Oreochromis niloticus: one gene and its partner. The protein of the gene in region 1 purifies or fractionates together with the protein of each later gene. This does not show direct contact. Links are inferred from orthologs where the notes say so. Each region holds a gene or a part of one and is shown in the gene's direction. Other genes may lie near its edges. The genes, in order: mlxipl and mlx.

Region 1 (15,109 bases):
AACATACAATATTATTTTTTGTAATTCATATTTTTTCTGTTAATCAAAAATTGTACATTTCTGTGTGTGTGTGTGTGTGTGTGTGTGTGTGTGTGTGTGTGCATATGTATATATATGTATATGTGTATATATATAAAAATAAAATTTGTGTGTGTGTTTCTGTTATGGTTTTGATAAATTTGACACCTGTCTGTTCAATGGATTGCTAAAACTAAGAGCTAGTTTGATCTAAATTATCCAAACTCGAGCTCTGTTTCTTCACCTCTGTGTGGGTGATCCAATTTCCTACAGGCTGGCAGAGTAGCAGTTTGTGCTCACAGATGGTGATGGTGTGGAGGGACGGTGGTGTTTTCTCAGAAGAACTAGCAGAGTCAAAAAGGGCACGAGTCCATCTCACCACCTTGACTTCCTTACTGATGCTTTTCTGCAATGCACAGAGGAAGTCAACCCAGATTTGTCCAGTGCAGTGCTATGAAATGTATATTTTACATCTTCTATGCTTACAGATATGTTTTTCTTGACAGAGGCTCTGCAGAGGTAAGACAAAGCAGAGAAAATTACTGATTTACTGATTTTACTGAATTACTGATCTCTCATCAGAGGCAGCAGATAAACCATCCACAGCTAAAAAAGGAATAGTTGTTGATGATTTAGAAATTAATGTTCTTTATGCAGGCAAATGTTGTACATAGTATGTGCTTTACATTTTACTGTGATATTTGATGCCTGATATTCAGTAGGAATGGAGAAATTGAATAAAAGGGAGATGTTTTTATTGTTTTTGTTAATGAAAGGAGTAAATCTTTAATTGTATTCATTTGCTTGGTTATTTTAGGAGTGTTTCTGAGTGAGGGAGAGAGGAGTCGTCATCATCCAGCTTCAAAGAAAAGGACAAAAATGAACATCCAACTCTGACCGTAATACGAATAAAGCATTGCATGTGTGTTTTCAAACTGTTCCTCAGATGGGCAGGATATGACTATTGGACTGTCTAACCTGCCAACTTCAAGAAAGGCCTGAGACAAGTGACAAAAGAATAGAGCAGCATTGAATGACCACCACACATGAGCATGTTCCTGCAACATTCAGCATCTGATCCTTGTTCATCTGTGTGCGTCTGCTTTTGGTAAGTATAGTTACTTAACTACAGTAACTATTGCGCAGTGACTCTAAACACATGGTCTCCATTTCTAACAGCCTGTCAGTTATTTTAGAAACCATGTGGTCACCTGACCTAACACTGTTTCTTCTTGTTCCCCTTAATGTTGAAGTGTCAAATGTCAAACAGCCTGAAAGGAAACTACACCAGTGTCTTGGATGTTTCATCAACATGTGTCAGACGCTGTTCCTGCGTTTCATGACAACATCACCAGAGACAGCCCGCCTACCTCAGGACCCCGCCAAGTCACGCATTGGTCATAATGCGCAATTCTGTTTGTTTTCATCTTTACCAGCCACACTCTAAATGCAATTAAGAAAAACACTTTAGAAATCGTCATTTTTCTCTTTTGTAATTGATGATAATTTACTGAATATACTCAGCTGTTTCCTATTGTTGCGTCAGACATTGCTTTAAGTTTTTCAGTGCGCAGTTATTTTTTTTTTACAGCTGTTTGAATTCACTTTACAGCTGTTTGAATTCACTGCTTCCGCGTCGCAGGAGCCTATCCCAGCTTTCAAAGGGCGAAAGGCGGGGTACACCTTGGACAGGTCATCAGTCTGTCGCAGGGCTAACACACAGAGACAGACAACCATTCGCACTCACATTCACTTCCGCATTCACACCTTTGGGCAATTAACCCCATTAAGTGCATGTTTGGGCTGCTTGTCTTTCTGTTTGTAACCGCTGCCTGTTTTTGACTAAAGATTTGGATTTCTGACTTTAACACAGCCTCTGTGTGTCCTCCCTTTGTGTGCTCTTCCTCTGTGAAGGTGTCACAGATTCATTTTATTAACAGCTTTCCCACAGTGAGTTGCAACAGCATTTATTCATAGCACATTTGAGAAAGATTCAGATTAATACAGTGATATTAAAGTCAGAATTATTCTGACAGTGTGCCACTGTGAACTATTATCTTTCATGAGGTAAATTTTGGAGTTCAGTATTTCAAAGCAGCAGTTATAAAGAATCATATTGGCATTAGGAGTGTAGGTAGGTAAACCTTATTCATGGCATAAGGTAACAAGGTAAAAAAAAAAAAAAAATTAAATGGCAACAGTCTAAATGTAAGTGCAACCTAAACTCCACTTCAATAAATTATATGCATTTGCAAATAGTCATTCAGGACTGTAAAACATGAACTACAGAACCCAGAGTCTCCATCATTAAACCTCTGATTGCTTCATTTTTCTATTTTATATTAGATACTTTAAAGGTTTTAGTAAAGTTGCATTGTCATTTGATCTACCGAAAGGAAAAGGAGAACATCTGAACTGAATCCAGTCAGCTGAAATCATAAAGATAGAAACAATAATTCAATACAGTGTCTTAGCTTAGCCTGTTACAACTGTTGATACAAGCTCAGTATAATTAACACTCAGAGTCAGGGAACACCAGTGTGGGAACTAGTAGCTTTTATGATTTTAGGTTTGAAGTCATATAATTTTCATCCATCCATCCATGTCTTCATTTAATTCAGGAGGAAGAAATGTCAGGTTGGTGCAGGCTGCTTAGATGCATTTGGTCCCATGCTGTCTTTAACTAAATGACTTGGTTTACTTTGTGGCTAGGCTGTATGTGGGTTTATATCATGTTATTTGTAGGTACCTGTCACCTCTTGGGGTTAGCAAGTTTCTCCATGAGCAGAGCTTCTAGCCCTTCTAGCTTCTAGCACATCTGTGGCTGTTTTAACAGGAAGAAGCTTCTAGCAGACCCAGGTTCAGGGAGGGACATCCATGTGCTACAACCAGTTGGGGGTGAGGTAAAGGGAAGACCCACTTCTTCATATCTGATTGCTGTTGAGATTTTTTTTTTAATTATTTTCTCCAGAAATATTTCAAGAAAATATTTTCAGGCTTAACACACACACACACACACACACACACACACACAGAGAGAGAGAGAGAGAAATAATTAGAAAACATGCAACAAAGAATACCGCCAGTAGGGGCCGGTACTCTTTGCTTTATGGGTTAAAAAAAATGAAGGATCAAAACTTGTTAATAATCATTCCTAAACACAGATATAGGGGCCTATGTGATATGCAGAAATCTTCGCACATGGGCAGAAATGTTGCTTGCTGAAACACATCAAATATATACATATATATATATATATATATATATCCTACAACCACGATTACCGACACTAACAAGCTGATCTACACTACGGCAGCAGTGATCAGTGAGATGCTTGGCTACAAGTTGAACAGCCACAAGGGCAGTACCCTCCATGGAGAAGGAGGCTAGAGGGCAAGATCAAAGTAGCACGAAGGGAGGTTAGCCAACTAACGGAGTTGCAGAAAGGCGCAACAAAGAAGGTGCATAAGAAATACAACAAGCTGTCCATACCTGAGGCCTTGGAAACTGCCAAGCAAAGACTCACAGCCTTGGCCAGCCGCTTGAGGAGGTACACCAGAGAGATAGAAGGCAGGAGAATAAACCAGCTGTTCTCCACAGAACCAGCAAAGGTGTACTCTCAGTGGCAAGGGAACAATAATAACAGAACAGCACCACCAAGGCTGGAGACGGAGCAATACTGGAAGAGCATATGGGAGAAAGACACAACCCATAACGGCAATGCTCAGTGGCTAGTGGATCTGAGGGCAGACCATAGCGACCTCCCTGAACAGGGTCCAGTAACCATCACAGTGGCAGACATCCAAGAAAGGGTCTCCAGTATGAAGAATTGGACAGCACCAGGCCCCGACATGGTTCACGCCTACTGGCTGAAGAAGCTGACTGCACTCCACGAGCGTCTGGCAGCACAAATGAACCAGCTGCTAGTTAACGAGAGACACCCGGAATGGCTAACCGAAGGTCGGACGGTCCTGATCCCCAAGAACCCCAAGAAGGGACCGGTCCCATCCAACTACCGACCAATAACCTGCCTCAGTACTACATGGAAGCTCCTGTCAGGCATCATATCGGCTAAGATGAACAGGCACATGGGTCAATACATGAGCGGGGCACAGAAAGGGATTGGCAAGAATACCAGAGGCGCAAAACACCAGCTACTGGTAGACAGAACAGTCAGCCGAGACTGCAAGACCAGACTGACCAACCTGTGCACAGCCTGGATTGATTACAAGAAGGCCTATGACTCAATGCCCCACAGCTGGATACTGGAATGCCTAGAATTGTATAAGATCAACAAGACCCTAAGAGCCTTCATCAGGAATTCAATGGGGATGTGGCGTACAACACTAGAGGCCAACTCCAAGCCCATAGCACAAGTCACCATCAAGTGCGGGATCTACCAAGGAGATGCTCTGTCCCCACTGCTGTTCTGCATAGGCCTGAACCCCCTCAGTGAGATCATTAACAAGACTGGCTACGGATACCGACTACGGAACGGAGCGGTTGTCAGCCACCTCCTGTACATGGATGACATCAAGCTGTATGCCAAGAGTGAACGAGACATCGATTCACTGATACACACTACCAGGCTATACAGCAATGACATTGGAATGTCATTCGGACTGGAGAAGTGTAGTCGGATGGTAACAAAGAGAGGGAAGGTAGTCAGAACTGAGGGGATTGAACTACCAGAAGGCAACATTGCAGACATAGAGGACAGTTACAAGTACCTGGGGATCCCGCAAGCGAATGGGAACCATGAAGAGACCGCTAGGAAAGCTGCAACCACCAAGTACCTGCAGAGGGTCAGGCAAGTCCTGAGGAGTCAGCTGAACGGTAAGAACAAGATCCGGGCCATCAACACCTACGCCCTGCCCGTGATCAGGTACCCTGCTGGGGTAATAGGCTGGCCAAAGGAGGAGATAGAAGCCACTGACATAAAGACAAGAAAGCTCCTTACCATGCATGGAGGGTTTCACCCCAAGTCCAGCACCCTGAGGCTGTACGCTAAGCGGAAGGAAGGGGGCCGGGGACTGGTGAGTATCAGCACCACAGTCCAGGATGAGACAAGAAACATCCACGAATACATCACGAAGATGGCCCCAACTGACAGCGTGCTCAGTGAATACCTCAGGCAGCAGAAACCCAAGAAAGAGGAGGAAGGCGAGGAACCATCATGGAAGGACAGGCCCCTGCACGGTATGTACCACCGGCAGATAGAGGAGGTGGCTGATATCCAGAAATCCTACCAGTGGCTGGACAAAGCTGGACTGAAAGACAGCACAGAGGCACTAATCATGGCAGCACAAGAACAAGCTCTGAGCACAAGATCCATAGAGGCTGGGGTCTATCACACCAGACAAGACCCCAGGTGCAGGCTGTGTAAAGATGCCCCAGAGACAATCCAGCACATAACAGCAGGGTGCAAGATGCTAGCAGGCAAGGCATACATGGAACGCCATAACCAAGTGGCCGGCATAGTGTACAGGAACATCTGTGCCGAGTATAACCTGGAAGTCCCGAGGTCAAAATGGGAGATGCCCCCAAGGGTGATGGAGAATGACCGAGCTAAGATCCTGTGGGACTTCCAGATGCAGACGGACAAAATGGTGGTGGCTAACCAACCGGACATAGTGGTGGTAGACAAACAGAAGAAGACGGCTGTAGTGATCGATGTAGCAGTTCCGAATGACAGCAATATCAGGAAGAAGGAACACGAGAAGCTGGAGAAATACCAAGGGCTCAGAGAAGAGCTCGAGAGGATGTGGAGGGTGAAGGTAACGGTGGTCCCCGTGGTAATCGGAGCACTAGGTGCGGTGACTCCCAAGCTAGGCGAGTGGCTCCAGCAGATCCCGGGAACAACATCGGAGATCTCTGTCCAGAAGAGCGCAGTCCTGGGAACAGCTAAGATACTGCGCAGGACCCTCAAGCTCCCAGGCCTCTGGTAGAGGACCCGAGCTTGAAGGATAAACTGCCCGCAGGGGCGTGCTGGGTGTTTTTTTATATATATATATATATATATATGTATATATATATATATATATATATATATATATGGAAAGAGAGAGAGGGAGAGAGAGAGAGAGAGAGAGAGAGAGAGGGAGAGAGAGAGAATGATAATGTGAATCTGTGACACATCCACACATCCAACTTTCTAATATTTAGTATTTGCTTTGGTTTATTAATAATTACCACTTTCTGTCTATTCCCTTGGGGACTTTACCAGCTCGGGAAGTTGACATAATGATAGTATGCTGTTACACAACAGTCCACACACACCATGCTCCAGAGGTGTAGGTCCTGCAGCTGGTTGGCTGAGCCCTCAGCTGACAGATGAGCAATCGGCTCTTCCTTGAGGAAATATTCAAATATCTGAAGAAAACAGGGCAGGAAGCGGGGGAAGTCAGCTGAGGAGAAAGTTCACTTTCTGTCCGACGCTCACCGCTGAATGAAAGTGCACAATGGCGGGCAAAGGGAGCGTTTGCTCGGCCGGAGAGAGCCAGCTTCAGGACTTCTTAGAATCGGACTCTGACCCGGAGGGGGAACCCGCTCGGGTGGCCGGCACCGGGCCGTCGCCCGAATCTTTCCCCCGCACTCAGGTGATCCACAGCGGACACTTCATGGTATCCTCGCCCCACAGCGACTCTGCAGCGCGGAGGAGGAAGAGTGGAGGGTCTCTGAGGTACGACTTTGACACGGTGAACAGAACGGGGTGTCAAACGTACCGCTACGGTCCACTCAGCTCCGGGAGCCTAAGCATCGACCCCACTCTGACCCGCCTGTTCGAGTGCATGTCACTGGCCTACAGGTGGGTCCCCTTTGCGTGTAGTCGGGGGGAAAAATGAAGTCGGTTCAGCAGCTTTTTAATCAGCATTTTTATTTTCAGCTTTCTGCTTGTTCACTTTAGCTAAACCTTGTGGAAGAAAATATCTCCAAAGAATGTGAAAGTGTCTCATTCTGAGCTGATATTTAAAGCAGTGATATGCACAGGATCTGCTGCAGTCTCTGTTTTAAAATAAGAGTATTTTAAATTAACTGAAGCTCACTAAACGAACTAAACTAAACCACATTTTTAAATATTTCTTTTTAATATATATATTTCCCTTCAAACTCGATAGTTAAGGTTGTGGTTGTTTGTGTATATGTGTTGTCAGTCTGTTGCATAACCAGTTTGGAAATTTTCACCCAAAAAAAAGTGGACTTTGATTCTAGTTGGCAGGACTGGACAGAGGACAGTGTGACTGATGCAAAGGAGAGAAACTCCTGACACGATGCCCCAGAAATTTGTTTTTCTGTTTGAGAGCAGCCATTTGTTACAAGATGTCCCAAAGAAGCTCCTGCATATGAACAACTATAGCAGAGGAAGCCGCCGCACTTAAAACAAACCAAAGACCAAAGAAACCTCCTTATACTCTCTAAATGTGCTTACGTTTCAGTAACATCAAACTACTCATAGATTTTTCATTTACTTAAAAAATGAGGACCACTTTCTTTGAAACCGTGTTTATAAGAGCTGTCATCAACCTTTGGTCCAAAGAAGACTTTTTTAAATTAATCTGCTGTCGCTGGGTGGAAAATTGCATTTGTTTATAGGTCTAGTTTGATAATAGTTGGACAATGAATCCTGAAACAGTGCCACAATTTGTCTTAGAAACACAAAAAATATAGATTTAAAACAAGTAATATATATATATATATATATATATATATATATATATATATATATATATTTCTTTTTTTTTTTTCTTTTTTTTTTCCAAGCCTATGACATAGCCTCTTATTCCGCACAGATTGCTGCTCCGCTTTCCGCTATTTATCATTAACCAGACTGATGTAAAGTGGTTCCTCTGCTGATTGCTCTTTGTTTTTTCCGCAATATGCTGTCTCTGCTGTTTGGGCTGAATAATACGGAGCCATGTCAGTCCATTAAAACCAGGTTGAGAATGATTTCCCCAGGCTTCCTAGCAACTCCTTGAGCACCTCACATTAGGAGTCCTCTTCTCAGCAGGCAGAGAAAAAGCGAGGGAGGGGGGGGGGGGGGAGAGAGAGAGAGAGAGAGAGAGAGAGAGAGAGAGAGAGAACCCGGTATAGCCTGGTTGTATACCGGGGAATAAGGTGACTGGCTACTATTAGTCAAAATCAGGACAGGTTTGCGCAGGCTTGAGGCAGTGTTCCCATTGTTTTTCTAAAAGAGTCAATTATGCATGTTTATGACTTTTTTTCCACAAACATCATGAATGAAAGGGCTTTCACATTTTCCCCTAAACAATTACATATTCCACCTTTCTTTTCTCCACAGTGGTAAGATAGTCTCTCCTAAATGGAAATCTTTTAAGGGTCTGCGGTTGCTGTGGAGGGATAAGATCCGTCTGAACAATGCAATCTGGAGAGCATGGTTCATTCAGTGTGAGTGCTGGTGCTTTTTTTTTTTATAAATTGTGAGACTAGAAGAACCTGGTGACCTAACATGGGTCGAGAGAATCCACATTTCACCAGAATGAATGTCTACACAGCAGCTGATTTTCTTGTCTTTTTTTACTCTCTATGCTGGGCTCAGATGTGGAGAAGAGGAAAAACCCAGTGTGCGGCTTTGTGACCCCGCTGGATGGCTTGGAGGCAGATGCGCATCGAAAGCCCGAAGTGAGTGAATGAATGATGTAGGTCTTGCAAGTTTTGGCTAATCCTTGAAAAACAAACTAACATACTTGGTGTTTCTCTGGCATCGTGTCAACAGGCGATCATATTAGAGGGCAGCTACTGGAAGAGAAGGATTGAGGTGGTGATCAAGGAGTACCATAAGTGGAGGATTTACTATAAGAAGAGGGTGAGTGCTCACCTTCTTCATTGTACATCTTTAATCTGTCTCTAAGTCAGCTTACCAGTACCTATTGGTTGGACAGTTTGTCACGTTGTCATAGTCCCCAAAGGATGAACCTCAGTGGCCCCAGTTTCCAACACATTTACCTGATCAAAACTGTAATTAGTTAACTTAAAATGATGAGCCAAGAAACAAAAAACATGGTTCATTTTCCACACTCGTTCTGTCTTTTCCTCCTGCAGCTTCAGAAAAAGAAGGATGACATTCTATTAATGCTTCAAGAGGTAAGTCAGAAGCCACACATTACTTTGTTATTGCTACATTATTGCAATATTGCAAGCAAATTAAAGTCGACAAGTATCGACTTTGATGAGTGGAGGCTGAAGCTGGCCAACTGACCCAGCGTATATTGTAATGTGTGGGTGACCTGCTGGCATTGTTTACTTTTGAATGTCCTTTTAGTGACATACGACCACTAAAGTCCACCAAGTGACTATTTTTAGCATTTGGATTTAGCCTCTCTGGCTGAACAAGGGAGAAGGGGAGAAAAAAAGGGAATTAAAAAAGAAAATAGAAATGGGCAAAACAACTTGGGCTGTGCGTCACAACCTGACACATGAAGGCAACTGACCCAGCTAACTGCCTGCTGCGACAATACCCATAACTCTTTATCTTTATTCAAGAAAAACAGTAAAAAAAATGAATGTAACCTGATCAAATGTGACCTACTTCCATCAGCACTTGGTAAAAACCGGGCAGCAGAGGGGCAGTGGCTTTCATCATAGTATTCCTCATATTTCATCTTTCATGGGCTCTAATTTTTCATTTTCCTGTAGATGTGCTGTGGCACTGGAGGTCCAAGCTTTACTTGAGGTCAACATTAGGAAAACTCCAATAATAATGCTGCGTCTGACCCGTGTTTTGATAGATAACACGGCAAGGCCAATATCAGCAAGTAGCTAACAGGTCAAAGATCACTTCACTGTGTTTTTATGCTCTGAGCACTCATATTCTTATCACACCATTCTCTTAACAGATTACATTTAGTGCTTAGAAAAACACTAGTCAAAAGTGTGTATGTCGTATACTGTAATCATGTCATATATGCGGTTACACAGTTACAGTTGTGCACTTTTAACCTGTGACAGCACTAGTCTGAAATTTAATTGGCTTTACATTTTTAACATCAACCACTTTCTAATAAAGTAGAATAGTAAAATAAAGTTCAGAGTATTATCTACAGTGACAATGTATTTCAAGAGATTTTTACACAGTTCATTTACAGACTGTAGCGGGGTGTGGTTATGTGGCTCAGTTGCACGGGAGGGGTGGAGCAGTGGGTTCAGGGGAAGCTGAACCTGAGCTGTTCTTCAACACCTGGTCACACCTTCCCTATTTCAGTAGGTTGCTGGGACCTGAAGGATGTAGTGTGTGGTGTGGCCCGAAGAGGGCAGCTGGAAAACTGCTCTAATAATAGCACGAAAAAGACTGAGAATTAAGATCACTGGACTTGCAACATTAGCCCTTATATTCAGTCAGTCTGAGAGTCAAATAATATCTGATTAGGTGATAATGCCGTGTAAGCGAGTAAAGTTTATTTTTATAGCTCTTTGAAAGGAAAAAAATTCACACTCTGCAAAAGGGAGACGCACACATAAGTAAACAAAATGAACACACACTACAAGCACTGTACACTCTGAACCATCAAATAATTTACAGAAAAATCTAATGTTTTGGAATACATTATTTAATGAACCTTCTGACAAGTATTTAAAAGAGCGAAATTTGCATATAGGAGTTTTAATTAAGATTTTTTTATTTACATCTGGGACTTTTGTGCAATTTATTGCTTAACATTTGTGCAACATATTTAGGCTTTTCAGGGAAAAGCAATCACACTGATAATGTAGCGGTCTCAAAACCTCACAAATACGATCCACTTGGTGTTACAGGGTTAAGCTGCCCATTAAAACAGGCACAAAGACAGTCGAGCTTTTCTGCAGTTTTGGAGCTAAGGTGTGGAAGGCACGATCACTCTCAGTGTTTGGATGGGCACACAGAACCGTGAGAAGACCCCTGTCTGAGGACCTGAGAAGCCAACTTGTAGTGCAGGGATGGAACAGTTCAATAATGTAGGTGGGCCCCCTGGAAGGACCAACGTCGTTGAATGAAATTCAAACTTGATAGGTAGGAGATGCAAAAGTTTTAAAAGTGGGGTAATGTGTAGGGTAGGGTAAGTTTCACTGATGATTTTTATAATAAAAAATTGCATCCTTCTGGATACCAAAGTTGAGTTAGATTTGGATCTAGTAGAATCTCTTTTGAAACGAAACTTCTCACCAAACGATGTAAACGCACCCTGTAGATGCTGCAGTCTTTCAGCCGCTCATATGCATGTGTGTATTTTCTCCAAGCAGCATCAGTTTGTGTTTAACAGGGGCCTCTTCCAGTTTGCATGCACGTGTGTGTGTGTGTGCAACTCCCAGAATTAGGTCAGGGACAAAAGGCTGCCGCTCTTATTGAAATGGTGAGACATCAAAATAAAGAAATGAACAAAGCAGACATAATGAAAACCTGTGAGGGCCCAGTGTTTCTGAACAATGTGTTAAAACAGCTTTTTCATGATGCACCCCACTTGCACACGCGCGCACATATACACATACATGTGCGCACAACAATCTTACCTCATTTCTGCTCGTGCGTGCTTGTATTCTAAGAGGGGATGTCGTGTGCTCAGACGTAATCAGAAATAGTTTCCGGCTCAATCTGGTGGGCTTCCCTATAAATGTGGCCCCAAGCTTAGAAGTGGAAGGTAAAGGCAGAGTAGAAGATCGGGGTGAAACAAAGCATGTCAAACAGGCTGGCTGTGGCGCTTCATTTCTGTGAGTTGTTCACTGGGTTTGAAAGAAGCAGAAGGGGCAGAAGGGGGACAGCTTAGCGCATGTTTCCTGTTGAAGTTGTCAATGCTGTAGGTTTTCAGTTTTGTTTTGTGTGTAACTGGATATTGTTTTGTTTTTTCTGCTGTTTTAATATTAGTTTTGAGAGGCATTTTTTCATTTATTAGCCGAACAAATGTGGCACTAAGTTTTCATAGAGCACCAATTGCAGGCACAGATTGGGAGAACCAGAAGTCATTGATGAATTAGGACTTTCCAGCTCTATTTATGTTGAGCCCCTAATGGATAGATCTGGGATTAACTTGGCATGTCAGATCCTGTAAGTGTTCTGATTCCTTGTTGGTGTTCTGCAGGGTCAGATCTGCCAAGCCAGGCAGGATAAATGGTCCTATCAGATCTACCAGGAACCCGAGGCTGTCCCCGCGGAGGCCCACATGTTTGACCTGGACTGTCTTCTGTCCGACATCTCTGACACCCTGTTCACCATGACACAGAAGTCGTGTCCCTGGACCAGTGAGCGACACAACAGTGAGTAGTAGACTAATTTGTGGAATGACTTTCAGCAGGGACTAGTCTCAAAACTTGCAGAATTTGATTGGAAGCATTTAAAAGCAAGGGTGATCGTAGGGTGCACCCTGCATGGATTAAAATAATTGATTCCAATTAGCTGTCACTGGGCTGAAAATTATATCCCAGTTTATTTTACTTTTTGAATCAAATAAATTGCCCAAAATGATATTTCTAACTCATGTCTGTCATAAACAGGAGCTTTAGGGACAGATTTTCAGAAAAAAGGAACATAATCATAGAGATATGGTTGGACTATCTCTCATTTTAAATGTGGTCCCGTTTTCAGACATGTATGCCCTTTCCCCCCCAAAAAAGGTAAATAACAGCAAAATGCATTTATTTTCAAATAATAAAAAGTTAAATTTGACTGAAAATAATACACGGGCATCATATAAAATGCTGAGAAATTGAGAATTTTTTTTTTCTTTAAAATTTGATAACAGCAACATATAAAGGTAGGGATTGAGGCCTGTTTACTGCGGTGCTACATCACCTGTTTGTTTGTTTGTTTGTTTGTGGGTTTTGTGTGTGTTGGGGGGGGGGGGGGGGGGGGGGGGGGGGTTAACAATAGCCTCTCATCCATTCGCACTCAGGTTTCCAACACTCTCATTATCTGTCTGTTCAAAGTATGGCTTTACCCAGCAGATGGTTGTCCTAGCTTAAAAAGATGAAAACAAAAAGGCAACATGGATCAGCACGTCTAAAGCTCAGTCAGAGCTGGGGACTATCGGGCACAATAAATTTTGGAGTCTGTGCCGCTTTCCAAGCCATCTCACAGTGACAAGGCAACAACAAGGCAAAGCAGGAAGTCACCATCAACACTTTGTTTCTTGTGCAACCTAAACAAACAAGATATGTGATTTCTTCAGCTAGCAGGTGGACAGGTTGCCTATAAAAATAGCCAGCTGGCTCTTTCTGCCAGTGTCCAGTTTTTGCTAAAAACAGCCTTTGATGAAAGATCCACTGACTCTCAGCAAGAGAGCAAACAAATCCAAACTATGCTTCAATATAATGTAGAAGTATTTCACTTTCTAAGCTCCTACCTCATTTTGGTGACTCTGTCTGCTGGTCACATAGGTTAGCAATTCAGCCAATGAAACCCACCTTACAAATAAGGAAATTCCCTATGATGAAAGACGACCTGTCAAAAAAATACACAATAGCACTAGAGCATTTCTTTCTCATGCGTGCATCTATTATTATGTTCTCTTCCACTTCATCAGCATACACCAATAATGCTGACATGATTCAGCCAGGCTTGACTCCACTGCAGCCCAACCTGGATGATTTCATGGATATACCAGGTACTTTCTACCCTTTCATATGTCCATCTCTTTATCTGTTAATGATGTAAATGTGGAGAATTGATTAATGCATCCGATCACTGGTTGATTACAGTTAAATGCTTGCTGACAGTGCATGATATAGTGTGAAGAGTACATGAGTTTTTAAGATTAGATTCTTATCAGCCATATTTGGATGATGATTATCTTAATCATATTTTTGTGGTACATAAATTAGGTTTATGTTCCAGATGTTCATGAGTGAAAAAACCTTGAGGGACACTCTGATTTGTGCTGTGTCAGCAGTATGTTGTTTGGCATTCATGAGTTAAAGGATTGTCAGAGGCAGGGTTGAACTGGGGAAAATGGGGAAGTGGAAGAGGATGTATTTAACCACTATTGCTACTTTTGGCACCACCTAGAAACTGGGGGAAATAAATATTGATGGGCTGGAAGATGGCAGATTTTTTTTTGTTTGTTTGTTTGTTTTTAGCGAATAGCCAATGAGCTTTGGCCATTTTGAATACTAAACAAGTACATTTCTGATGTTTATCTGTAAAAATCAGAGAGAAAGTTGTTTTTAATCAGTGAGCAGATACACTTTTCTATTTTTTTTATAAAGTGAAATTGTGTTGTTACCTTAATTCCTATTGAGCTGTAGCTTTTAGGTCTGTGATTTCATTTAATTTTGATTGGATTTTATAAATTCATGGTGTAGGGAGCTAACATCACATAAATTAAGCTGGAATGAATGAAAGTTGCACTAATTTTCATTAGATGGACCAACACTTGGCTTTACACAAGTTTCACTGCTGCTTTGTATCATTTAGAGGTATAAATATGCAACTGTTAGCTAGCTTGACGGCTTTAAAAGTGATAGCATAGGTTTTACAAATGGCTGAAAGTTAATTGATGCAGGGTTAAGTAAATGTCTTTGTAAAACATGTAAACATCTAAATGTAGAGCACCTAACTTACCAAGCTGACACTTACTGCACAGGAGACAGTATAGTGTTATGCCTGGGGTCTGCTTTAGTCTTTATACTGAACAGTCAGCCTGCAGCGATAGAGGAGCAAAGCTTCAGGCAGGAGGAAGGAAGAAGGTTAGAGTTTAGTTTCTTGCTCAGGGCAACAACGGCTGTGATTTTTCTGGCCTTTGTATTACTTTCAGTGATGCAATCCAGCAGCCCCATGGCTACAAGTCAGTCTTTGTAACCAACAGGCAACCTGTTGCCCACTGCTGTGAGTGTGTGTGGAGTGAGTGTTTGTTCTCACTGTCCTGACAGGGTCCTGAGGCATCAGCTGTGTAGTGGCTTTTCTTTTTTATTACAGTTTCCAGGCAGGTAATATCTGTCAGAGCAACACAGCCATGAGATTAATTAATGATTTCTCTGTATCTCTCTTACATGGAAATACTGAGGTTTCTTTTTACTGAGATAAAAAAACGGAGCTTTTGGTATTTATTACCTGTGACATCATTAGGAGTTCTGAACACTGTGTCTTGATGAAAGACACTCAGTTCAG
Region 2 (16,821 bases), on another chromosome or scaffold:
CAAAGTCAAATAAGGCTCTTGGAATACGAGGAAATTGCCTGAACAAAAATAATTTCACCTCTTTAAAGTTGTCAAAGGCAGAGAGAATGATGTCGTGTCCTCCTCGGACGAGACAGACGGCAGCCAGCAGCTCCAAAACAAGAGCTTTGGTCCTGCCACGACAGAGGAGGATGGGTGAGATGTGGATGCAGACACTTAACACACTTTATCTCACAGACAAATGCGCTCACCTGGGATTCCTGCTGTTGAGACTGAGGGTGATCTCATTCACGCAGCGTGGGTGAGTCATCACCAAATTAAAACCAGACTAAAAGCAGACGGAAGATACATAAACAGCTGTTCAAATGTGCTAGAAACAAGAACTGGGTTTTTTTTGACAACCCAGAAAACATGTCATATACTGTGATAATCCATTTTAAAGACAGCATAGGAATTAAGTGACTTTATTAGACTGTGTGCTAAAGCTTTACCTGATAGTTCATGATGGCTCGCAGGCACATTATGCACACATGTACATCATCTCTCTGGTTGTTTATGTGGGACTTCTTATGTATCTTGTTTACCAGAGTGGAGCTTATTCTGTGAAGCAATAATACATGTTGGAATACATGTTTGAGGGAAGAGAATCTCCTGTATGCATATACATATGGTAAGATATGCAGTGAGATACTTGTAGCTTTGACTTCTAGGGTTTTGGACAGTCACTGTGTTTGACAGATGCTATGTAGCACAACATGGAATGAAGATAAAGGATAAAAGACGAACTAACTTTACTAACAAACAGTTGGATGACCATGTGAGGGGATCTGAATGAATGAGAGCACGAGAATGTCAATGGTTATCTTTTTTAAGAGGAGGCTATGCTGTGGCACTGTATCAGTTAAGTTACTAAACCTAAACCTATGTTTCATATTTTAGAGTTATAATCTTATAAGCTCTTACTTATATATCAGTTAGAGCTGTCACTTTATTTGAGAGTATTTCTATTTCTGGGCTCACAGATTTTCTCAAATTCAGTCCTAAATATTTATACTTCGACAACTTCTTAAAAGAAAGAGAGGTGTAGCATGGCACAGTTCTCACAGCAGTGGAAACCACTGTGGTGCTTATCAGTACCGCAGAAGTTCGTGGAGTTTTCACACCACTTCTGCTTTGCATGAGTCTATTTTTTGACAGTGTGTAGAGCTGCTTATGTTCAAAGTTCATTCTTCATTCAAAGGCATTTGAACTGTGCAACTTCTCTGAAACCATATTGCTGTTTCTTAAAGCTACTGTATCTCAGTAACCTTTCAAGTCTCGAGTTCCTTACCTTACAGTCAGTGCACGAGCCGCTCTGGTCATCCCATGTGACTGATGGCTGCTGGAGCTCTTGGTCAAGTCTTCCATTGACCTTTCTGCTGATTTTCCTCTGTCTGACAGGCTGCCACCATTTTCTATACCCTCAACCTCAAACCTTAAAAATAGACATCTTTTTAACACAATCTATAACAGCACAATTAAGTTTCGAAACTCAGACCGATTCTAAAATAGCATTCATGTCTGCTTAGTACTCACGAGCTGTCACTTTGTGCGTAGGACAGGTATTCCACCAGAACATCCAAACCTTTATTCTGTTCATTGAGAAACTCCTGGGCCCATCTTCAAAAAAGAAAAGTAAATCATGAGGAGTGACCATATGTAATAGATTCTGTGCCCAGACAGGATTTATAGCCAAAGATTGTAACTTTAGAAGGAAAACAGAACGCAGTCCTGCTCTAAATATGGAATCCAGCACAGTCAGGTGATTTTCTTTTGCAATCTTACATTTTTTTTTTGAGGAGTTGCACTATGAAGGAAAAAAAAATGCAATAAAGTCAAAGGGCTAAAAAACCCCAAAACAGATTATTTCTGCACTGGTTTTGCCGCCTTTTCCACTTTATGTACAAATGTAACAATACATCGAAGCTTTAAGTACTGCTTCTGTAAAAGGTTGTATATAAACTATATATAACTGTTGGTGTGCTGAAGAACCACTTCAGCAAAGGTTTTTATCACCAGCTGAAAAATATCAAGTGAAACTAAAATAGCTAAATGATTTATGTAGGTAAAGTGCACAGACAGTTTGCAATTTCGCTAAAGTTCGCCTTGAAATGTCTTTTAGCGTTAATGATTGATAAAGATTTTCAGGTTGGACTGCGTGAAACTGCTATTAAAATCTGGAAAACATACTTGTGACACACCAAAAACCAAAATAAAACACATTACACCTTAAACACTAATAAACCAAACAGAGGCTCATGAAACAAACAGGCTCACCCAATGTGATTGGTCCGGAGGGATATCTCCAAATTTTTAAGGACCTGGGTGGCATCTTGGATCCTTTTCTTCAACTAAAAAAAGCAGAAGGGGTTAAAGTCACTGATGCAGGCACATGATGCACGCATAAAGAACAAGAATGCTTTCTACTGACCCTACGAGACACCCCTCCTTGATCCTGGTAGAGGCTTTTGATCTTGGTCAGGTAAGTGGATGGGGGGCTCTTCACCTGGAAACGCTCCTGTGGGAGAATATTTTACAGAGGATAGAGTCAGCACATGCTGAAGTAGAATTAATTTAAGCAGCGACCTCAAATAACGACTGATCCAGAACCATATTTTACCAGCAAGCTGCATTTGAAGTTATTCTAGTAAATACAACGAGCACAAACCGCTCTCTGTTTCCATGCCGACGGCTCTATCAGTTGCCACCACAGAAACTATGTTGCAAGGTTTGCAACCACCACTTAAGACTCTCCCCTTTGGGTATTTGTGCACTTTATATCAACTCTGCCCCCAGTGGAGCCAACGCTGCAAGAATTTGGTCCATTTTGATGGCATATGTTACTCATAAAAAACAAATAAAAGCTCTCACCTGATCACAGACTAATTCCCATTTCTTATCATTGTCGTATTGACTCAACAGCTGGAGTTTATCTGGAGGCAAGTTCATGGAACTCTGAAAGAAGAAAGATGTAAAGATATAAAATGGGTTTTAGAATTTACATGAAAATGTGTTTGGAGTACAAAAAAAATCAACTCCATCTCTACTGATATTTAGCAGAAAGATATTATACTATATACTGTCATTTCTTCGTGTTTCCTGCTCATGTAACATTATGCAAAACAACAATACCTCAGATGCACTTTCAGCACAAAACTGAAAGGCGGTAACTACCTACTGGTAGCAGATGACTCAGTGTTTACGTGTATGCATCGATCGTTGCCAATAGGTACCGATGTGTTACACGCACTCAGTGTCTACTCAAGCTTCAGCAACACTTTTTGACTTTTTGAATAATATGACCCATGTTTAGACATTATCTGTGCTGTCTGTTTCAGCTTTAGTAAAATATCTTTTTCGGTCATAAACTGCTCATAATATTTCTGTTATTTTCTGAATATCATAAAGACCTTTATACAGACCAAGTATCCTCCACCTCCATGATTCCAGTGTAGGTTGAATTTCGAGTTGGCATATTACTGTCCAAAAGGGACAGTTTCACACTGAGTTATCAAACCTACAGAGACATGTCATGTGTAAACGTTATTTCCCCATTCACAGAAACTGAATGAGCGGAGGTTGTTATTTTTAAAAAAAAGGTCAAATTAAAAGGAATAAGATACGTCAAGGCATCGGCGTAACTTTCTGCTGAACATTGGGGTGGGGGTCAAGATCTCTGTCTAAATAAATAAATCTGGGTAAATTCCCAGATGATTAAACATGCAACTATTTTGCTGGTAATAACTGAAATGAGTAAAGAAAATTAACAGCCTATTTATGCAAGATAATTCATAATTTTATTGGGGGGGTTATATTGGTTGAGTCTGATTATTGGGGGGGTCATAACCCCCTAACCCCCCTGGAAATTACGCCCCTGCGTCAAGGAAAAAGGCTTCACTCACAAAATTAACTTGTTTTCTTTGATCACTAATTCCCTGTAATTATTTATGTTTTGCTTAAAGATATTTTTTTCACAGTCCTCTCTCACATTACTGCAGCTGGTACTGCACTGGTACTATTTTTTTAGCTGATCAAAAGCTTAAATCAATGTGACCATTTACAGTAAGTTTAAATAATTTCAGTTGATGTTGGGTGTGGCTTTTTAATCTAGTTTTGTGTACATTCAAGCAGCGGTTTGACATCTTCTGTGCACTTTTTTCTTTAAAAAGGGAGGAGTGAAAACGGAAATGATCTGATGTGTTGGTGCTCGAAATGAGGCTCCTTCCTTGGCTGATGTAAGGGAGAGGTCTTACTGTGGTTTTGTGGTACTTAAAAAAAAGGTAATGTGAGTGCCTTGCATTATGAAGTTTATAGCTTCTGATTTAGTTACTCAAAAATAAAAAGTACTCACATTTTTCAGTAATGCAAAAAAAAAAGAAGGTTCACTTCTCGTTTCCTTGTTGGTGACGTCAACAATATAATCTCTAGACTGAGGTTTGACAAGTGACAAGTATTTTACTGAAGAAGGAAGACACTTGAGAGGGTGTTGTCATTTTCCGGAGAGCACATTTTGTGTAGATATTAATGAACTGTTAACCCTGGCTCTAAACTTCATTATCTTGCATGAAATTATAATGTTTCCATTCAAGGTTTGTCATATGAAGCAGATATGGCGTGAATTTTGACTTGTTTTTAGAATAATCATGGTATGCTGTTCCAATCAATGTCATTTTTGAGAAAAGACAAATAGTTTTAGTTGGAATAGTTGCATGGATTTATATTTGCTGTGTAAAGTGTTTGTTTTTTACTACGTAAAAAATAACTTTCTAATTGCACCCCACCTTCTACAAAAACACAAAATCATTATTTTTTTTTACATACACTACATTTTTATGTATGCTAAATATTTGCTTGAAAGGTTAAAACCCATTTACAACTGCTCTGAATAACACTGATCCTGCTTTTGTAATTTAATGTTTTGTTGGGAAAGCCTATGTTAAAGTACCATCCTAAACTTTGTGACATAATATTATTATTAATAGCAGGCAGGTGCTTTCCTCTGTGGTATAAGCCAGACTCATAGAAGCCACACCCTACAACTCATGGGTCTCAAAGGATTTGATACCAACATCCAGATGTTCAGCGGCAGGACAGCCTCAGGGGTTGACAGGTCAAAGAATCTTCGGTGGCTTTAACTAGATGTGCCCACTTCCAGACTAGTGGTTTTAATGAGTGTGGTTAAAATGTATATCTGGACACTTAATGCTGTAAATCATCTACCACATAAACCACAATGCCAGACATTATAGAAAATTAAAAATGAGAACATTGTAGAACAAACTGAACTATTTAGATGTAAAAATCTGGAGAACTTGAGCCTTGAAAAAGTAAAACTCTTAACTCATTGATGTTACTGGCTAAGCTATGTCAGATTAACATGACTGTTAGTGTCTTTGTTTCACTTTTGTAGATCTGTATTTTTTTCTTAGCATTGCTAAAGAAAAAACAAAACACAAATCTCATAGTTAACTCTATTTTTTCATTAAAAAAGTCAAAGAATAAGCCAGGATTAAGATAGTCTAAGCATCATGATTTGATATTTTGCGCAACATATAATCTAAAAGATCGTAATACTTGAAGTTTTATCTTTACTAACTTGTTGTGAGACTGTTGAAAGAATGGTGAAACATTTCCTTTCCGGTCCTGTGGCCTCCGGCATGTAAATGCATTGCTCAACTTCCCATTTCAGCCTGCTGTTGTGCATGCATTTATCAAGCAGTTTCTGGTTTGAATTTTTCTAACCAAACCATGAAGAATTTGGCAACTTGTTGACAGGATTGTCATTGTTTTTATCACTAAAGTGAAAATTTAAGTAACTGATGATATTTGTGCAAATTTGACTGGACAAAATGACAGACCATTAGACTCTGACTGAGGGTGTAACGATCTTTCTAACGTTCAGCTCTTTCTTCTCACTTGACAAATAGCTTTAGATACACCTAGAGAGTGTAAGAAATGAAGTAAAGTACATATTGGAGTCTATATTAGAGCAAAGTAAATTTCCAAAGAGTGAAAGATCAGTCACTTTCAAACTTGGGTTATTACCTTAACAATGTAACAATGTAAAATGAAAGCTGATTTGATATGTGTTTTTGTGATCCTCTTAATCATACTTACTTGCACAATCGCCCTTACATCTACAAACCAAAACTTTGTGCAAAATCTGCATGATTTCATATGGAGTAAGGGTGCACGGCGTGTCATGCTCTCACTCACCAGAACCATGTTGAAGCGCTCCTCCAGCTCCTTCTCTGGTGGCATGGGAAGTTTGGGTTGAGGAGGCTGCTTTTTTTGCAAGGTTGGTGCAGAGTCATTCATTGCTGAAGCTGCACTGACTGAGTTTCTGGCCTCTCGGCCTTCGGCCGGTTCATGCTCCAATCCCCCACCAGCCGCATTCCCCATCACTAATCTCCACAAGTAATCCAGGGGGACTGCTTTACGCAAACTGTTTCCTCCAGGAAATCAGCGTATCCAAAAGCAAAGTGACAAAAGATGGTCACTCTGAATTACAACAGCAAAAAGGCCCTAATCAAATCAAGTCTAGGGCCTCTAGGGCAATCTACATTAATTCTCAGGTTTACAAAATCCGCCTCACACCCGAGGACAGGGTGGGCAATGAAAAAAGAAAGTTTGTCCTCATGGCCCCCTTCTCCTTAAGTTGTCTTCAAGTTCCTTTTGAAAATGAGGTGATAAGTCCTGTTAGAGCCTGTTAGAACTCGAAAAAAAGGTCCGCCTATGCCTCATGCACTGTTGTCTACATTAGTTGACCGAGAACTCTCTGAAATAGTTCAGTACCGAAGCCTGCGTGTGAGAGGAAGGCAGATGAGGAGTGTGACACAGTCAGAAACCACAGAAGCACAAAAGCAGAAGAGTAACTTCCTGTGCATGACAGCTATAGAACCTGGGGCGGAGGACATGGTGGAAGATAAACATGGTAACCGTTACACGTAACCATGCAGTAGGTGGATGATGATAAAGAAAAGATACTACAGGAATGAAGGAGAGCAGACTCCAGATTTGATGTAAGATTAACAGATGTCGATGTAGATGTAAATCAACTACACAATTAAAGGGAACTTTGCAACATTTCACAAAGAAACCACCTTTTTGTACTAGATTTAGTCATTTTACTGATGTCAGCTTGCCATGAGTCAACGGTTACATTTGTTTTGGTGTTTTCCCTTCATGTGGTGGTTTAATCCAGACAGGTAAAGGTGGTTTCAGCATGACAAGAATTGTCAAACAACACCCCTATGTGGATAAAGATGACTACTGCATCTAGTGAGATCTATCCAGTGGGAATGTTAAGATAGTTATGTTTCTGAAAACTAACTTGTTACCATTCGTTGGCTCAGTAATTTACGAAGCCTGTGTGTATACAAATGATTTCTATTGAGGAAAAGAATAATAAGTTTATCACAGATGCATTTCTTTGAGAAAGTGAAAATTATTAGCTCCGATGCAACAGGATATTCATTTTCAAAGCTTTCTGAGACTCACTGGAAGGCAACAGTGTTATCAGCTGAGTAAAATGAAAAGATCAAGATAAAGATTCCTTTACTGCTGCCAAAAGAGAAGATTGGAGATGTGTTTAGACATCAGGAAAATGCTGGGAAAAAATCATCAAAACGATAAAGCTAATCATTTCCTTACAGGTGTAACAGTGGAGACGCAAGTAGCAGAGGTATTGAAGTAAAGTGAGTTTAAATACTTGGAGTTTTTCTTGTAAAGCAACAGTAGGTACACAAGATAGCTGAAGAAGAGAATGCATGCAGGATGGAGAGGATTGAGACGAGTGTCAAGGGTAATTTGTTACAGGAAGATAGCCGCAAGAATGAGATGATGTATGGTTAGGAAATGCTATCACTAAAAAAAGAGATACGCAGACCTGGAGGTGGCAGAGTTGAAGATTTTCACTGGCCATGATGAGCAAGATTCAAGAGCAGCTGAAAGAAAGCAGATTTATTTAAGTGTTTAAGAGACAAAGAACTGATAAAAAAAATAATTTTAGTTTTTCTCTCATACTATGTACGCCTTCTGTTTATTTTTTCTTTTCTTTTTAATACAGTCTTTCTGTGACATAAAACCTACATTTTATGCGGTCAGTTACTGCAGTAATCCTTCCAAACCATGGGGTGGCGTTTATCATGAACAGATACAATTTACTACCGTGGTGCACAGAAGAAGAAATCCGTCGCATTCCAAAATGACGGACCCGACAACATCTCCAGAGGACCAGTGGAAAGTGAGTAACTGCTATCAGAAACCTCTATTTCGGGTTCAGATGACTCATGTGTATGGCAGCACTGGCAAATGACAAAAGCTGTGTTGTCTTAAAGTTGAAGCTTTAGTAAAGTGCAGGGGGTACACGGTTTGTTAGCTTCGTGGCTAACTAACGTTAGCTTCCGAGGTTTTGATAATGTTAGAAAGCTGTATTGGTTAGCTAGCCAATTGCCTACTTATGTAAACAAAGCAGCCATTGTTCCCCCTATGGTGTATACAGTAAGTCTTCATCTACACACGCAAAAAGGTAAAAAAGAAAAAAGGTCAGAGTAGCTGCTTGTTTCTTGCAAATCTATAAGTGCAGCATCAGTGTTTGTGAAGCTCACATTACCTTGTCTGTTTTACACTATATATAATTAATTAGCACACCACAGAAATTGAAATGGTCTTCGTTCCACAGACTCCTTAATAAAGACGTTTAGCCAAATAAAACAAAGAAAATAATTAATAATAATTAACATATGTTCAGGGCCCCCATTAAAAAAAAAAATGTCTCTAAAATAAATAGGGAATAGTAATTTTACAGTACGTAAGTAAACGTGTAGTAGGATCTGTTGTTCAAACTTAACATATATTCATTTTTTCCCCTCCTGAGCTTTTGAGACTTTGGAAACCACAAATTAGACAGCTGTGCCCTACATCAAACAATAGCTCTGTGATGAAGGCTCTTATTTTCTGCAGCTTTTTACCCACCTGTTTTCCTGAACTGGACAAATCAGGGCAATGCTCAGTGGGGGCTTAACTGGCTGGCTATTGGTCTTTTGTCAAACAAATGTAGGGCAGCACAGCGTTTTCCCTTGTTATTAGCTTTACAGCCTCTTATTTTTTGCCTTTTTCTATCTTCTGCTCTCTCGTGATGGCTCGGCAGACCGATGGTGCTTTCAGTGATGGTGGCTTTGACAACAGTGAGTATTCAGTCAGTTCTTGTGTTGTACTTCATCACCAGTGTAATCTGATCTCCCACATGATACCGATTATAGATGTATATCAAAATATATTTTGATTTTGTTGTGGATTATGTTTGATCACTGCTGTCTTGCTGTCTAGGTTATATTTCTGAAGCAATCAGAAAGGGCACTATTGTGTCCCGGGCCAACAGTATCGGCTCAACAAGTGCCTCTTCGGTGCCAAATACAGGTACTGGGTTTGAATGTTGTATATTTATGTGATAGTTAGCTACTAGTAATGTAATTGTAGTGTAGGTTAATTGTTTACTTGTTTGGTTGTTGTAGCCTGAGCCAGTCAGATATTTTTAAGAAAAAAGTTTTTGTTTATTTAGTGTAAAAGCGAAATACAGGAAATAGAGACAGCTTTGCTTATATTTCTCCATGATTTGTATAAAAGGAAAAATCTCTCTTGCTTGTGATTAATAAAAAATATATATTAACCTTAGCTCAAGGCTCGCAAAATTTCAAAATCTCTGGTGGCCCTTCGGGCAGGCCCTCTTCAGTTTTTGGTAGCCCAAAATAAATTTAAGTAGCCCGAATAAAAAAGAGAGCAATTTTTTAATGTTTTGTTTCCTTTACAATACTATACATTAAAGTATAATATTGTAACGGAAACAAAAATTAATCAGAAAGTTGTTAAAATACAAATCACAACAACTGTATAAAAATCACAGTCATCAACTCAAATACTTGGTTCTAATTGAACAGAAATTTCTATGAACTTGTAAGAACTGTGTAGAACATGAATCAGTCTGTGTCAGATCCTGAATCTGAAATTTCCACTGAAGTCACGGGTAAGGGGTGAGTGGAACCAAGATCTAGGCCATTTGCTTTTTGAAGTTTGCAAAGACTGCTAAATTTTGACAATGGTAGTTCACTCTTTGCAACATAGTACGCTTTTGAAAGATTTTTCAGGACTTCTGCTTGTGCTTGGTTTATTTTTAGTATGTTTTTTGCAATTGCTGTTTGTTCTGGGAAAGATATTGCAGACTGAGCAATAATGCATTCTCATGGGTTCTGATGGGGTCTTTCTTAAAATTACTGGTCCCAGTTATAAAGGCGCTTGTCGACTCAAATGAAATGAAACTCACAACACACCTGGCAGAACATCATGTTATTTAGCTCGTCATATTCCAGCCACAGAAATTATTTTGTCCATGAAACCAAAAAAGCTGAGCTTTCTTTTTGCCTCCTAGTCTGATTTGTCATAACGTTTCCGTTTTGTGGTAGGCTTTTATTTGGCTGCCCCTTCTTCACCCTGACCTGTCTTATTTGGCTCAGCAGAACTAAAATACCGGCGTAAGTCCTGCTGCTTTTACACACGTACTTGCATAACGGTCAGCGATTCTCTGCGCAATCAACCTCTCACATGTTTAAACTTGCTGTGGGAGATTTCACTTGTCACGTTTGAATAGTAAGCTAATGAGTGATAAGACGATGTCAGAGGAATTGGTGCGCAATCGTCACTCACCAATCAGTGCTGCCGCTCTCTATACACCGTTCGCGCGATCGCAAAGTGAAAGTGAAAGCAAAAAACAAGCACAAATTCAAACGCGATTTCAATATGTCACATATTGGCAGTGGCTCATCGATGCCGATGACATAATTACTCAGCTACATTTTCGAAAGAATGCAAAAGCATTGACACATATTTTCCCTTCCTATGATAGCCCGACGGGCAGGGCTGAGATAGATTTTGGTAGCCCGACTGGAAAAATCGCTAGCCCCGGGACGTCGAGCTAGCGATTTTGCGAGCCCTGCAGCTCTATAGCTTTTATTTTTATTTATTCCAGAAGTTAGAAAATTCATGTGTTACAGTAACAAAACATTAAACATGGCCCTTAAATATGTCTTAAAAAAAAATACAGTTTGAATAAATATAAATAAAGATGGAAATATTTTTTGTATTGCTATTACAGCAGTTAATTTTCGTATTTATTTTACTCTATTTTTCTGTACAATGTTTTGTGACTGCTTTATACATAAAATTTTCTAACTTCCCAAACACAGGGATTGCTGTGTGAGGTAGAAAATATTTCCTGTATTAGTCCATGTTTAATTATGGAAACATGTGTTTCATATTTTACAATATTTTCTTAAATTCTTTGAGGGTTTATGAGATGTTAAATAATAATTTACTGTGTAAATTAAGTCCATCACAGTAATTCTTACTGATGAAAATCAATGAGTGTTGCCTATATGTGTGAAATGAGTGCCAACACAGGAATGACTCCAGGGTTAATAATCTTGTACGGTTATGAATTGATTTGATCAACTTTTTTAAAATAGCTACTTCAGCATTTTGTAAGTTGGTTAAAAAAACGCTGCCAATGTCATGGTTCAGATTTTTATTTTTTCATTAATGAGTATTAATCTATTCCCACATAGATGATGAAGACAGCGACTACAGGCATGAAACATCATATAAGGACTCGTATAAAGATCGTCGGAGACAAGCACACACGCAAGCTGAGCAGAAGCGTAGAGATGCTATTAAAGTAAGGACACACATTTTGAAAGTTGGAGATTTGCTTTAACTTTTTTCAGTAGTTACTAGTTGCTCTCTTTTAACATTAGAAAGGATATGATGACCTCCAGTCAATCGTTCCAACATGCCAGCAGCAGTCTGAATTTGCGGTGGGAGCACAGAAGATCAGCAAGGCTACTATTCTGCAAAAAAGTAAGATGTGGTCAAATATTTGTTAACACTTGGACAAACTTGGACTGCCTCTGATGAGTAACCTTGACTTCAGATTTAGTTGGAGATAATCTATATATTAACTATTACATCTGACATCTTGATAAGAAAAGAGCAATTTTCTATCCTGTTTATGTGCCATGGAAAACAATAGAATGCTTTGTACTGAACTTGTTGTGTGGTGCAAGCTTTTCACAGTTACATCTCACTTGGCCACATTTAACAATAAAAAGAGACGATAGACTAAGTTCAAGGAAGAACAGATATTTCCTGTCTTGCAGGGGCTCCTTTACCCAACAAAAGGGGAAGTTACAGTACTAACGCCCTCAGTATAAAGGTTAACTTTCAACAGTGTACCTAAAATTTGTGTGCAAGGCAGAAATCCCCGACTGACAATTTCTTGGTTGTTGTTTTGTTTGTTTTTTTAGCAATTGACTACATCCATTTCCTTCACAAAGAAAAGAAGAAGCAAGAGGAGGAAGTTTCTGTCCTAAGAAAAGAAGTGATGGCACTTAAGATTATGAAAACGTGAGTGGTTTAAAATTCATAAGCCAAACTGCTTTTTCCACATTGTGTTCTTCACAGGCCTTCTTTTTTTGGCGATCTGAGACTTCCCTAAATCCTCTAAACATACCTAGACAGATGGAAAGACAGATCTTAATTGCTCCTTGGGGATAAATAAAGTCTTTCTGAGACTGTAAAAAGAATGCTGGTCTAGGGCAAAGAAAGAAAACTGTGGAGTGGGGAATGCATTGTGTGCTTTTGTCCATGTTCTGTAAAGAGTGACTCAGATTCATTGTTTATGAAATTATATTAACCATCCCCCCCCCTTTTTATGTTTTGATAGGAACTATGAGCACATAGTGAAGGCTCACCAGAACAACCCACAGCAGGGAGAGGATCAGGTGTCGGACCAGGTCAAGTTCAACATCTTTCAGAGCATCATGGACTCCTTGTTTCAATCTTTCAGCAACTCTGTTTCAATGAGCAGCTTCCAAGAACTGTCGGCCTGTGTTTTCAGTTGGATTGAGGAACACTGCAAGCCACAGGTAAGGAGTATATTTAAAGAAACCCATGAGAACTTTATTATTTTGTGTTTATGTTGAGATATTCATAGTTTGTCTTCTGCTTATGTTCTTTCCTAGACGCTGCGGGAGTTTGTTGTTGGAGTGCTGCGGCAGCTCAACGGTCAGCTTTACTGACTGCGCCTGGCCTCTGGTTAACACCCAAAAATTGACTTTTTGAGCTTACTCTGGCCTCTAAGAGTGGAGTAAAAAAAATGTTGATCAGCCTCAAGCTATGCCGCAGTATTTACACTCACTTTGACTCATCAGTGACTCCTTGGCTGCAATTTGAGTACCTCATCACATGTGGCAGAGGTGAAAGGTGGCATTGGAATGATATAAGTTTAATACAAATCACTTTAAGCTTTGAAATGTACATACATGTTTAACTGAGTGTATTTCAGGATCTTCTGATTGTTATTTGATTTGGGAACCCAGCAGTACAGAAGTCACTGTAAGTGCCGTTTTCAATGTGTCAGGCAGGCAAAATATTGTGTTTAACTAATGGTAACCACCATCTGCAGTAGCCATAGTTGCCCACACTGAGATAAAAAACATGAGGAGGGGAGATTAGATCTTAATAGCAAGAACTCTTCTTACAGATTGAGTGAACTGATGGTATAGTTTATGGTGCCTTTTAAAATAATCAACAGAGATAAGGGGGGAAGGGAACTCATGAGCCAACACGTTCCCCTCTGTCACATCAAGCATGACTTTGTAGCTTAATGCTGAACCAAAGGAGCTCTTTCAGCTTCAGTGGACGAACACTGAGCCATTCCTCAGCTGTAACAGATAATAGAAACTACTGCAGAGTAACAATCATTGCTAAGTGTGTTATCAGGAAAATGCTATATGAGGTCTCAACAATTTATCACTGGGATTTGGCTTGTAATCCGACACATTTTGAGATGTACATAAATGGAGCTGTGACAAGCTGACAAAGTGCTGAAATGTCAAATTATTGTATGTATAAATTTAAATCTCTTTACAGTGTGCCATTTAACATTTTATAGTTGGCGTATTTCAATTCAATTTGGCTTCAATGGCAGGAAAAGTAATGAGTATTCTGTCTCATAATTGAGCTCATCACACTATGAAGCAATGTGTGTGGTGATCTTTCTGCAACTTTCAGATTTTCCTTTAATCAAAAAGCTTAAAATTTCAGCTTGTTGGTCCAATTCCAACAGAATAAACATTGTTTACTTTTGTTATCAGTGGTTCTCAGTGGCTAAGATGCAGTTCATGCCATGCTGTGTATCAGCCAGAACCCGCTTTTTTTTTTCTCCACCATCACTTTGAAAACTGTCCCTTTGAACTGCACCAGCCAAGTTCATGCTGAGAGAAGTGTTGAGAAGCTACAGCTGCTGTGTGCTGAATTATAATGAGTGAATTTCAAGTAGGTGACAGCTCATTTTAATGATGGTTGTTTGTTGTTTCTATAAACATCCTTTCCTGTGTTAGCTGTTTTCATGGAAATGTTGTTTTTTTTTAACTGTCTTAAGTTGTTGTTTCGGGTGTATTAATAATTCTGTCATACAAGCCATGTACACTCAGTGGCCACTTTTAGTTACCCCCTGTAAAATCCAGTCTGAAATCTGAGCCTTAAAGTCTGCTTTATAAAGGTTTTTTTTCTTTCTTTAAATGTACACCAGCAGATAGGTGTAATCTATGCATTAATGTACAGCTCTGTTAGTGTTGTAGTTTGCTGTGGTGTTGAATGTTGACGTTTTTAATTTACAATCCAAGGAGGTTGAATATTTAACCTCCTAGGACCTGGCGTCCACATATGTGGACATCACATTTTGGGCTATTTAGACCAAAATACTCAATTTTGCGCTACAACTGCCTGATATCCACTTACGAGGACATTATACTGCTACTGTTCTATCGAAATTTTAAACGAATATCCTCGTATGTGGCTCTCATTTGTCTTAGAAACAAAAATTAGGTAAAAAAAAAAACATCTGGTAATTCTTTGTTTTTACATTCATTGGGCCCCAATATGCCCAAATATATATATATATATAATATAAGAGAAATTAAAAATCCATGCCGTGGAAGAGTTCGGGTCTTAGGAGGTTAAAATAGGTTTTAAATCTGTACCTCTGAGAGAACACTGTGTTTGATTGTATTCAATTTCATAGGTTTGCCTAATAAAGTGGCCACTGAGGGGTTTTTTTGTCATCCAAATTATGTGAAAATGAAGCATCTGTGCATAACAATAACAGGAAAAATCATAAAGCTAGGCGGTGGTTCCCAACTGTGCAGCTAATGAAATGTATTTTATTTATGCTTCACAAGAATTAAAGTAAAACAATTGTGGCGCTTCAGCATCAGAATTTATGGTGTTGAACATTTAATAAGCAGAAAACAGTACAACTGTAATTAAAAAAATATAGATATATACATTATACATTTTAAGTTATGCTTTCAGAAAATAAAGCAAGATGGAGTTGAACAAGAACAACAGAATGTATAGATTTTAAACATTTAAATAAAGCCTTGAGATTTTCACTGGAAAGCTCAGGATTGGTTAAATCGCTTTAGAAGGGAAAATTTAAACCAGCGTTGCCTTTGAGGTGAAGAGCATGACTGTGTTGTCAATTGATGTGAAAGTGTTAAGAGTTTCACAAGCAACGAAACAGTTTTTTATAAAAACATACTTTCAGTTATGAACTTTTTTTTTCAATTAAAGCATTTATTAAAGTTGAACTATTTATTCAAAATAAAGGGCGATAAATAAAGTATTCTCTGGGCTTCAGATTGCTTTCCTGTGTAATCCATTTGCTTAGATTAGTGGCAAGGTGACTGTAAAAGAACTTTCTTGTTCAAGTATGTGGAAGAACTACTTTACAGTCCTCATCAGTCTCCACTCCAACTTCTTCCTGTGAGGAAGCAGAATATTGCAGGTAATAGCAAGAATTTTATTTTATTCTTAAAAAGGATTTTTTTCTTTTCTTCTTCTTAGTGTCTTAAACTCACCAGGAACTCCTTTTTGCTCTTTGGATAACCCTCGAGGATTGAATTTATCATGTCTGAAGCCTAACGCAAACAAAGTGCCAAACACTTTAATAACATGTCCATATGCAGTTTCACTCGCACTAATGAAAGGGAGGGATTGTACTGCATTTTTAAAATACATGGCATGCAATATGAAACATATGAGCTATGAATACAAAAAGGAACTTAAGTAAAAAAGATTACCAGTCTCTTCCTCTTTTTCCACTCTTTAACGTAGAGATCTCGTTCTTTATAAACCTGCAAATTAAAAATAATACTAATATATATAAGCAGCTGGATAGCGTAGTGGTAAGGTTACACACCTTTGGAGCAGGAGTGGCAAGTTCGATACGCAACATCCACATTGCAGGTCCAACGTTCAGGAGAAGGGACTGCTCTCACGGTTAGAGATTGATAGGGTACAACACACATGCTACGGCAAGGGGGAGCCAGGGCGACAGGTCAGGGGTGGAGATAACATTATCAGCCCCACCCGAGATTGGGTACCAAACCCCAAGTGCGCTAGAAGAATGATCGTTGAGTGCAAGAGATCATGGCAAGCTTGAAACCTGGATCCTCCGTTACCAAGACTAAGTGAAGTACCCTCAGAAGCTCTACTAGATTATGTGAATGCAGCACTATGCCGCCACCATTACCATTACCGAGACTAACAAGCTGATCTACAGTGAGATGAGATGTTAAACAGCCACATGGGAGCAGTACCCTACTCTCTAGGAAAAAACCCAGCTCCATCCAAGGTGTACTCTCAGATACCTACTGAACAGTATATGTACAGTTGACTCATGAATCA

Evidence for each region.
Region 2: the proteins of mlxipl (region 1) and mlx purify together in Homo sapiens (affinity purification with western blotting; 3 studies listed by BioGRID and IntAct, counting the BioPlex papers as one, with this or other methods). This does not show direct contact. The link is inferred for Oreochromis niloticus from reciprocal best matches to the Homo sapiens genes MLXIPL and MLX.

The regions. Positions count from the first base shown.
Region 1 is NC_031975.2:7,054,239-7,069,347, reverse strand, and holds the start of mlxipl (carbohydrate-responsive element-binding protein), read left to right. Parts: upstream 1-6,270; 5' UTR 6,271-6,479; coding exon 6,480-6,826; intron 6,827-7,340; coding exon of another isoform or gene 7,341-7,350; intron 7,351-8,317; coding exon 8,318-8,424; intron 8,425-8,575; coding exon 8,576-8,658; intron 8,659-8,752; coding exon 8,753-8,842; intron 8,843-9,078; coding exon 9,079-9,120; intron 9,121-12,086; coding exon 12,087-12,261; intron 12,262-13,526; coding exon 13,527-13,607; intron 13,608-15,109. UniProt on the Homo sapiens protein: Binds DNA as a heterodimer with MLX/TCFL4 and activates transcription. Binds to the canonical E box sequence 5'-CACGTG-3'. Plays a role in transcriptional activation of glycolytic target genes. Involved in glucose-responsive gene regulation.
Region 2 is NC_031969.2:25,989,000-26,005,820, forward strand, and holds mlx (max-like protein X), read left to right. Parts: upstream 1-8,121; 5' UTR 8,122-8,224; coding exon 8,225-8,263; intron 8,264-9,169; coding exon 9,170-9,206; intron 9,207-9,348; coding exon 9,349-9,438; intron 9,439-11,636; coding exon 11,637-11,746; intron 11,747-11,825; coding exon 11,826-11,928; intron 11,929-12,374; coding exon 12,375-12,474; intron 12,475-12,793; coding exon 12,794-12,995; intron 12,996-13,091; coding exon 13,092-13,148; 3' UTR 13,149-14,728; downstream 14,729-16,821. Other genes in the region: psmc3ip (homologous-pairing protein 2 homolog), read right to left, coding at 15,839-15,895, 15,993-16,052, 16,215-16,268. UniProt on the Homo sapiens protein: Transcription regulator. Forms a sequence-specific DNA-binding protein complex with MAD1, MAD4, MNT, WBSCR14 and MLXIP which recognizes the core sequence 5'-CACGTG-3'. The TCFL4-MAD1, TCFL4-MAD4, TCFL4-WBSCR14 complexes are transcriptional repressors.